Linked DNA regions of Cricetulus griseus. The protein of the gene in region 1 purifies or fractionates together with the protein of each later gene. This does not show direct contact. Links are inferred from orthologs where the notes say so. Each region holds a gene or a part of one and is shown in the gene's direction. Other genes may lie near its edges.

Region 1 (3,760 bases):
GTTTGGATGCTAGGATGAGAAGCTTGACAAGAGGCTTGGATCACGACCTCAGATTCAGGGACTAGGTTGTCACTGAATGAGTAAAGAGAGGGGTAAGAGAGCTGGGTCTGGGGAGTGGGCCTGTCAGCACAGCTACTTAGGAATCTGAGGCAAGAATTTTGCAAGTTCAAGCCTAGCCTGGGAAGTTTGGGAACACATTGTCTCAACATAGAAAGTAAAAAGAGGGCTACTGAGACGGCTCATTAAGCTAAGCTCTTGTGCAAGCCTGATGACCCAGGTTCCCACACTTGTCTGGCATGTGTGAGGTCCTGGGTTAGACCCACACACTAATCTAGCAGGTGTGAAGTCCTGGGTTAGACCCACACACTAGTGTATGTGAGGTCCTGGATTAGACCCCCACACAAGTCTAGCATGTGTGAGGTCCTAGGTTAGATCCCCAATGCCAAAAAGGGAAAGGAAAATAAAGATACAATCTCTTGGCTTTTTCTCGAGATTGACTTTGTTCTCTTGGGAAGATGTGACTGGAATGGGTGACAGAAGCACAGGTCATCTGTGACATGCAATAAACTATTGTAAAAGGACAGCAAGCAAGAGAAAAAACATTTTGATATTATGCTAGAAAAAAAAACAACAAAAACCTGCGATAAACAAAAGAGCAAATTTTAAAATCGAGTAGGAGCTGGCCTTGCCAGATGTGTGGATCCTGCTTACATCATCCTGATTTTGACTCTGGTTCCAATACAAGTTTATTTAAAAGCCGTGTAGCCGCCTATGGGCCAGTGTTTGTGCTGTTGGTGTTTGCATCCCTATCTATCAGGTGGGTGTGGTGGTACAGGTCTACAGTCCCAGTACTCAGGGGGCTGATGCTTGAGAACCCCAAGTTCAAGGTCAGCCTGAGCCGATTAGTGAGACCCTGTCTCAAAGAGGATTCAATTTTTTTGTCTCCTTGTTATGGGGAAGTGGTTACACCCCTTGCTTCTGATGCCTCCTGCCTTTTGGTCTTTTTTTGTCACTTGGAATAGCAATGTAGACACAAGAGATACTTTATTTCTCTGCTCCACACTTCCATAGCAGATGTTAACAATGTAGACACAAGAGCTGAACAGCCGCAGCTAGGGAAGAGAGCAGGGGGTGTGAGAAACAGGCAGGCAGGCTTTCCCTTCACCACAAAGCTGGTGAAAGCCAGGTGGGAAGTTGGCTGACTGGGGTGTGTGTGTGTGATCCTCCCAACTGAAATCTCCCAGGGCTAGAGAGATGGTAAGAGTGTTTATTGTGCAAGCATGAACTAGGCATTGGGGTGACTGTGACCCCAATGCAACAAGAAGGAGAACTGCTGTAGCTTGTTGGCTGACAGACTAGCTCCAGGCTCAGTGAGAGACCCTGGCTCAGTAGAAGGTGACGTGACAGAGCAGGACAGCCTCTGAATGCACACACCTGCACATATGCCACACCCACATCCGCTGTCCCCCCACAAATACGCCATCTCTCAGTTCATAACCATTGGCAAATACCACAGAAGCATTTAAAAAGATCCCCTGATGCAACATTACCCACAATGCTGCTGCTTGAAAGCTCTGACAGCCTCAGGAGGTCCAGATGCTGGAAGACGCAGTTGCTTTGGACAAGGAGTGGGAGCATCTGCCAGTGGCTCCACTCAAGTCTGTCTCTGCAGGTGTGCAGTCCCGGACGCGAGCCCTGCTGGTCATTCCCATTGTGATGGCCGTCCTCATCACCATCTTCATAGCGGTGTCTTTCTGTATCAGTGAGTGCCCCTGTGAGGGAAGAGGGGGAGGACTCAGGGATGCAGAACCAGCCCTCCCAAAGCCTCACCCCTTCTTTTTCTCTCTAGAAAAGGTGGTCAAGGAACCAGAGGATAATAAGGTAAGCTGGAAAGAGTGACTGGTGGGCAGGTTGGGAGACTCATGCGTGGCACAGGGAGACAGATGACTACTCAGTGGGCAAAGTGCTTGCTACACAAGCCCAGGAACCTGAATTTAGACCCAATACCCACGAAAAAAAGCCTGTAACGTCAGGGCTGGCAGGGGACGTGGACATGCAGAGCTTGCTAGCCAGCCAGTCTAGCTGACACAAGGTACTCCAGGTTCTGAAAGAAACCCTGACTTAGCAAATAAGGTTGAGAGTGACATCGACCTCTGGTCTCCATGGGTGCATGTACATACGTCCAACACCACACTCCTTATGTATATGTACACACATGTGCTCGTGAGCGTGCTCGAGCACACACACACACAGAGGGAGAGAGAGACAGAGACAGAGACAGAGAGACAGAGAGAGATGGATGGGTGGGTGGGTGGAAGGGAACAGGCTCAGTGTCTGTCCCTGGGGCCAGTAAGGTGACAGTCGGCTACTCTTACCCCTACCCTGCCCTGAATCACGGTCTTCATTCCGTCCTCTAACTAATCACTTCCCCACTGGGAGGAGCCAGGCACCATTGGCAGAACAACCCTGCCCATGCTTTCCTTTGGCTTGGAACATAGGGAAGTCCAGCCTTTAGAGGCCAGAAGGTGGAACCAGAGGGGCAGCTTCTTCTGCTGGCTGACTCTGACTCTGGAAGTTTCCTGCCAAATTTCATGTGTCCAGCAGGGGGCAGGAGGTATCTGAGAAATCAGCTTTGATTATCACCCCCCCCCCAAGGGGAAGGGACTTGGAGGAAGGATTCTACTCCTCAGGGACAGGGTGGCTCTATGCCTAGAGGTGACCTTGGCTCTCACACCCTGGCTCTCCAGGCCTCACTCCCTGCTGTTGAAACGGGAGATCCTACGGAGACAGAAGATTGTCTTGGCCACAACACTGCTCCAGTGCAGGAGACATTGGTTGGGAGTCAGCCTGTGGCACAGGAGGACGGCAAGGAGAGCCGCATAGCAGTGCAGGAGAGACAACTGATGGACAGCATGGACTTGAAGCACCTGGTCTGAGATCTTGGAACTGTTGCAGTGGTGATGGCACGAGGGCAAGGGCCTGGCTCGGATGGCGGCTGACATTTGAGATTCGAAAGGAACAAAAACTGCCGCGCCTGCCCAGCTGCCATCCCTTGTCTTGCTTTTAAAGATGGAGGAAAAGCTTGGGCATCAGGGATCCAGAGAGTGCAGCAATACAGGACCCAGAGATGTATCCTGGTGGCTTTCACTATCAGGAGTCATGGACACCACAGTCTATGGCTTTGTGGCTTGTACTGTTAGAAGACACCTGATTGCCCATCAGCAGGGGACTGGCTAAATAAATCTGTAATGTATTTATACAACAGGATCTCAGAAATACTATCAACTGAAACAAACAAAAACAGGTAGTGGAATGGTGGGTAGAGAAACAACCTTTAAAAACACATACCCAGGCAAGTAAGATAGCTTTTGTGGGTAAATTGCTAGCCACCTGATTTTTATCCCTGGGACTACATGGTAAAAGGAGACAACCAAATCCAGAGGATTGACATTTGACCTCCACAGGCACTCTGTGGTCCATGTTCATGCATGCATGAGTGTGTATGTGCATACCCCAAGATGGGAATGGTGGTTCATGCCTGTAATACTAGCACTCAGGAGGAAGAGGCAGGAGAACCAGGAGTTCCAGGCCAGCCTGGAATACATAGTGAATTGAAGGCTAGCCTGACCTACATGATACCGTCTCAAAAACAAACATTAACTGGGTGGTGGTGACACATGCCTTTAATCCTAGCATTAGGGACTCAGAGACTGGTAGATCTCTGAGTTTCGAGGCCATCCTGGTCTACAGAGTGAGTTCC
Region 2 (3,819 bases), on another chromosome or scaffold:
AGCTTTCCCCACGGGAGTTCCTGTATCGGAAAGGAGCCTAGCTCGAGCTGGCTTTTACTATACAGGTGTCAACGACAAGGTCAAGTGCTTCTGCTGCGGCCTGATGCTGGACAACTGGAAACAAGGCGACAGTCCTGTGGAAAAGCACAGGCAGCTGTACCCCAGCTGCAGCTTTGTTCACACCCTGCTTTCTGCTAATCTGCAGTCTCCATCCAAGAACACAGCTCCTGTGAGAAGTGGGCTTGCACATTCGTTACCTATTCCAGAACGAGCGGGTACTCACTCCAACTTGTCCTCAAATCCTCTCAATTCTAGAGCAGTGGAAGACTTGTCATCAAGGACCAATCCCTGCAGCTATGCCATGATTACTGAAGAGGCCAGATTTCTTACTTACAGTATGTGGCCATTAAGCTTTCTGTCACCAGCTGAGCTGGCCAGAGCCGGCTTCTACTATGTGGGACCTGGAGACAGGGTGGCCTGCTTTGCGTGTGGTGGAAAACTGAGCAACTGGGAACCGAAGGATGACGCTATGTCAGAGCATCGGAGACATTTTCCCAACTGTCCATTTCTGGAAAATTCTTCAGAAACGCAGAGGTTTAGTATATCAAATCTGAGTATGCAGACACATACTGCTCGAATGAGGACGTTTCTGTGCTGGCCGTCCAGTGTTCCTGTTCAGCCTGAGCAGCTTGCAAGTGCTGGATTTTACTATGTGGGTAAGATGTTAACAGAGACTAGAACTTTCTCTTTTTTGTTTATGGGAATATACATGAGTCAGTTTCTCATCTTCTTTTCTTGTTTAGATCGCAATGATGATGTCAAATGCTTTTGTTGTGATGGTGGCTTGAGGTGTTGGGAATCTGGAGATGACCCCTGGGTAGAACATGCCAAATGGTTTCCAAGGTAATTGGTTCTTTGATTGTTTTTGTTGAGACAGGGTCTTTCTGTGTAGCCCTGGCTGTTCTGAAACTAGCTCAGGCTGGCCTGGAACTCAACAGCAATCTGCCTGCCTCTGCCTCCTGAGTGCTGGGATTAAAGGCATGTGCCACCGATGCCCGGCTATCCCTAACCTCTTAATTTTTATTATTGCTTAAAATAAATTTAGGGGCACAGTTGTTAGTGAAATAGAATTAGAAATTGTATATTTGTAACCAATTAACTATGTGAACTTGGACATAATTTCTAAAATAAATGGGCTGTTAGGAGTTTTTATCATGATAAAATATACATAAAAATATACCAATTTAGCCTTCTAAAATGTATTCTTGTGCAGCATAAAGTGCATGTGTACTGTTTTACAGTCATGTTCAGAGCCTTTTCATCTTCTCACTCTGAAACTCTGTATCCCATACACTTGAAAGCATCCCCCCCACCCCTGGCAACCAGCCTTTTACTTGCTATATCTGAATTTTTTACTTTAGGTACCACATGTAAGTGGAATCATACAATGAAGAAAGTTTGGACTTGTGCATGCCTTCCATAATAATGATAAATCTGTTGGACCTCCTTCAGGAAATTACAGGGACCTTTGGTCATTTTTGTGTGATATATGATGAAAAGGAATTTGGAAGTAGAAATGTTTATAGTGGATCAATCCATTGTATATGATGGGGTAGGGAGTGCACCCATGCCCACACGCCTTTAATCTCAGCACTTAGGTGGAAGAGGCATGTAATCTCTGTGAGCAGAGGCCAGACTGGTCTACATAGCAAGTTCAGGTCAGCTCAGGTTGAGGCAGAAGGAGTCTGAGGTCAAGGTTAACTTGGGCTACATTGTGAGCCCCAGACCAACTCAGCTAGTTGGCCAGACCCGATCTGGAAAAAAACAGTAAGCAAAAAAAAAATTCTTATCCAAGGAAAATAAAGCACAATTTGCTAGTGGAGGTCATAGGACAACTCTTCTTTCACCATGTGGGTTCTGTGAATGGAATGCAGGTCGTCAGGCTTGGTGGCAGGCATTTCTGAAGGCACCCAGAGTTTGTTTCAAGGGTTCTCTTAATGCAACAAATTTGACAAGTGATTTCATAATGTTGTAGGTCTTATTGGAGGTTGATCTTTAAGAACATGTTTGAAAAAAAGCAACATTTCTCCATAGTAATGCTAGTATGAATTTAGTCTTCACTGTTGAAAATGTCAGAATTTTAAATGACAACCATACTTGTGGGCTTATATGTTGTAACTTGAAATTTAACTTATATATAAAAGACAAAAACGTTCTAAATTCTAACATTTGAATTGCTATACTTTGTAAAACAAAATTCTTCACCCTGTTTTAAATGCCAAGGGAGAAGACAGGAATGGTTTTTGTCAGTGCAGCTCAGAACAGGTTTCAGCTGTGACTGTTTGCTCTCAGCAAAGACAGACTAACAGATGGTCATTATCACTAGGTTTTAGTATATATAGTTCACTCATTTGTCAGATTCAGGTGTGCTGCGCTCTGAGGGCAGTCAGGACTGCTATACTACATGTCTTTAACCATTCTGCTGATTGGTTTCTGTCATTGACACACTGGTCACCTGGGAAGAGGGACCTCAGCTGAGGATTGCCTCCCTCACATCTTAAAGCAGTCTGCTATGAAAACTGATGATTTCAGCTGCACAGAAACTGCCTCTGTCTTCCCAGCATACCATGGCTTTGGTGTCACTATATCCTTCTAAGTTTATTTATTGTTTATCTTCTTTCTTTCTTTCTTTCTTTCTTTCTTTCTTTCTTTCTTTCTTTCTTTCTTTCTTTTTTTGGTTTTTCGAGACAGGGTTTCTCTGTGTAGCTTTGGAGCCTATCCTGGCACTTGGTCTGGAGACCAGGCTGGCCTCGAACTCACAGAGATCCTCCTGCCTCTGCCTCCTGAGTGCTGGGATTAAAGGCGTGGGCCACCAACGCCTGGCCTATTGTTTATTTTTCATATGATAATTGTAGCTACAGTTATTTCTAATACTGTTTTTATTAGGATAGTTGTCACTATAGTTGTAGCTATAGTTATTTCTAACACTGCCTTTATTTAATAGGACAGTTATAACTACAATTGTAGTTACAGTTGTTTTTAGCACTGTGATGGACTGGGGTAGTACTGAAGGTTGATTCTGGGCTTTGTGCATTGTAGATAGGCACTTTACCTGAGTCCCAGTGTTTGTTTTTTTTTTTACCTTTATGATAGAGTTGAATTATTTACACTCTGCATTACAATGTGGAGAAGTCTGAAGATGATTATGTATTTGTCTTCACCTGTAAATTTTGTACTTTCCTGTGCTCTCAAGAATTGCTCTTTGTATTCTTTCATTATAGCTTGTGTATCTGTCTTGTTCTCTTGAAACTCACCACACTCCCTGAAGATGAATATTACTTGCTTATCTGACAGCAGTTTGTAAACACCTTTCTCTTCCTTCTTTTGAATTGGTTCTTGGAAAATTTTTGTCTCCCTTTGTTGTTAGAGTTTTTGTTTTATTTATTTGTTAGTTACTTGTAATCCTGCTTCTTAGATTTTGTGTTGAGCAAAGACCTTTAACTGTGGGTGGGTGTGAGGGTTTGGGCTTGTCAGGGGTATGGCAGGCCCAGACTCCTTGGGAAGTGCAGTTTCATAGTCTCCATGGAGCTTCTGTTAGCTGAAATCCTTGTTAGTGAAGGTTTTAGAGATTCTCAGTGTCTGGGCAGCATCAAAGCTTATGATCTTTCCTGTCATGGGAAACACCCTGGCCAATGGGACCCCTGTTATACCTGTTCTGGCTTGTGAGTGTTCTCACAATGAAGGGGACGGTAGCACTGGTGTTACCTGGTTTGTCTTGATGATTGAGAGCCTGAAGAGCAGTCACAGAGCCATCTGTGT

The links.
Region 2: the proteins of Cd40 (region 1) and Birc2 purify together in Homo sapiens (affinity purification with western blotting; 4 studies listed by BioGRID and IntAct, with this or other methods). This does not show direct contact. The link is inferred for Cricetulus griseus from reciprocal best matches to the Homo sapiens genes CD40 and BIRC2.

What each region holds. Positions count from the first base shown.
Region 1 is NC_048599.1:14,351,372-14,355,131, reverse strand, and holds the end of Cd40 (tumor necrosis factor receptor superfamily member 5), read left to right. Parts: intron 1-1,672; coding exon 1,673-1,762; intron 1,763-1,849; coding exon 1,850-1,881; intron 1,882-2,747; coding exon 2,748-2,936; 3' UTR 2,937-3,119; downstream 3,120-3,760.
Region 2 is NC_048597.1:122,214,218-122,218,036, reverse strand, and holds part of Birc2 (baculoviral IAP repeat-containing protein 2), read left to right. Parts: coding exon 1-716; intron 717-803; coding exon 804-903; intron 904-3,819. UniProt on the Homo sapiens protein: Multi-functional protein which regulates not only caspases and apoptosis, but also modulates inflammatory signaling and immunity, mitogenic kinase signaling, and cell proliferation, as well as cell invasion and metastasis.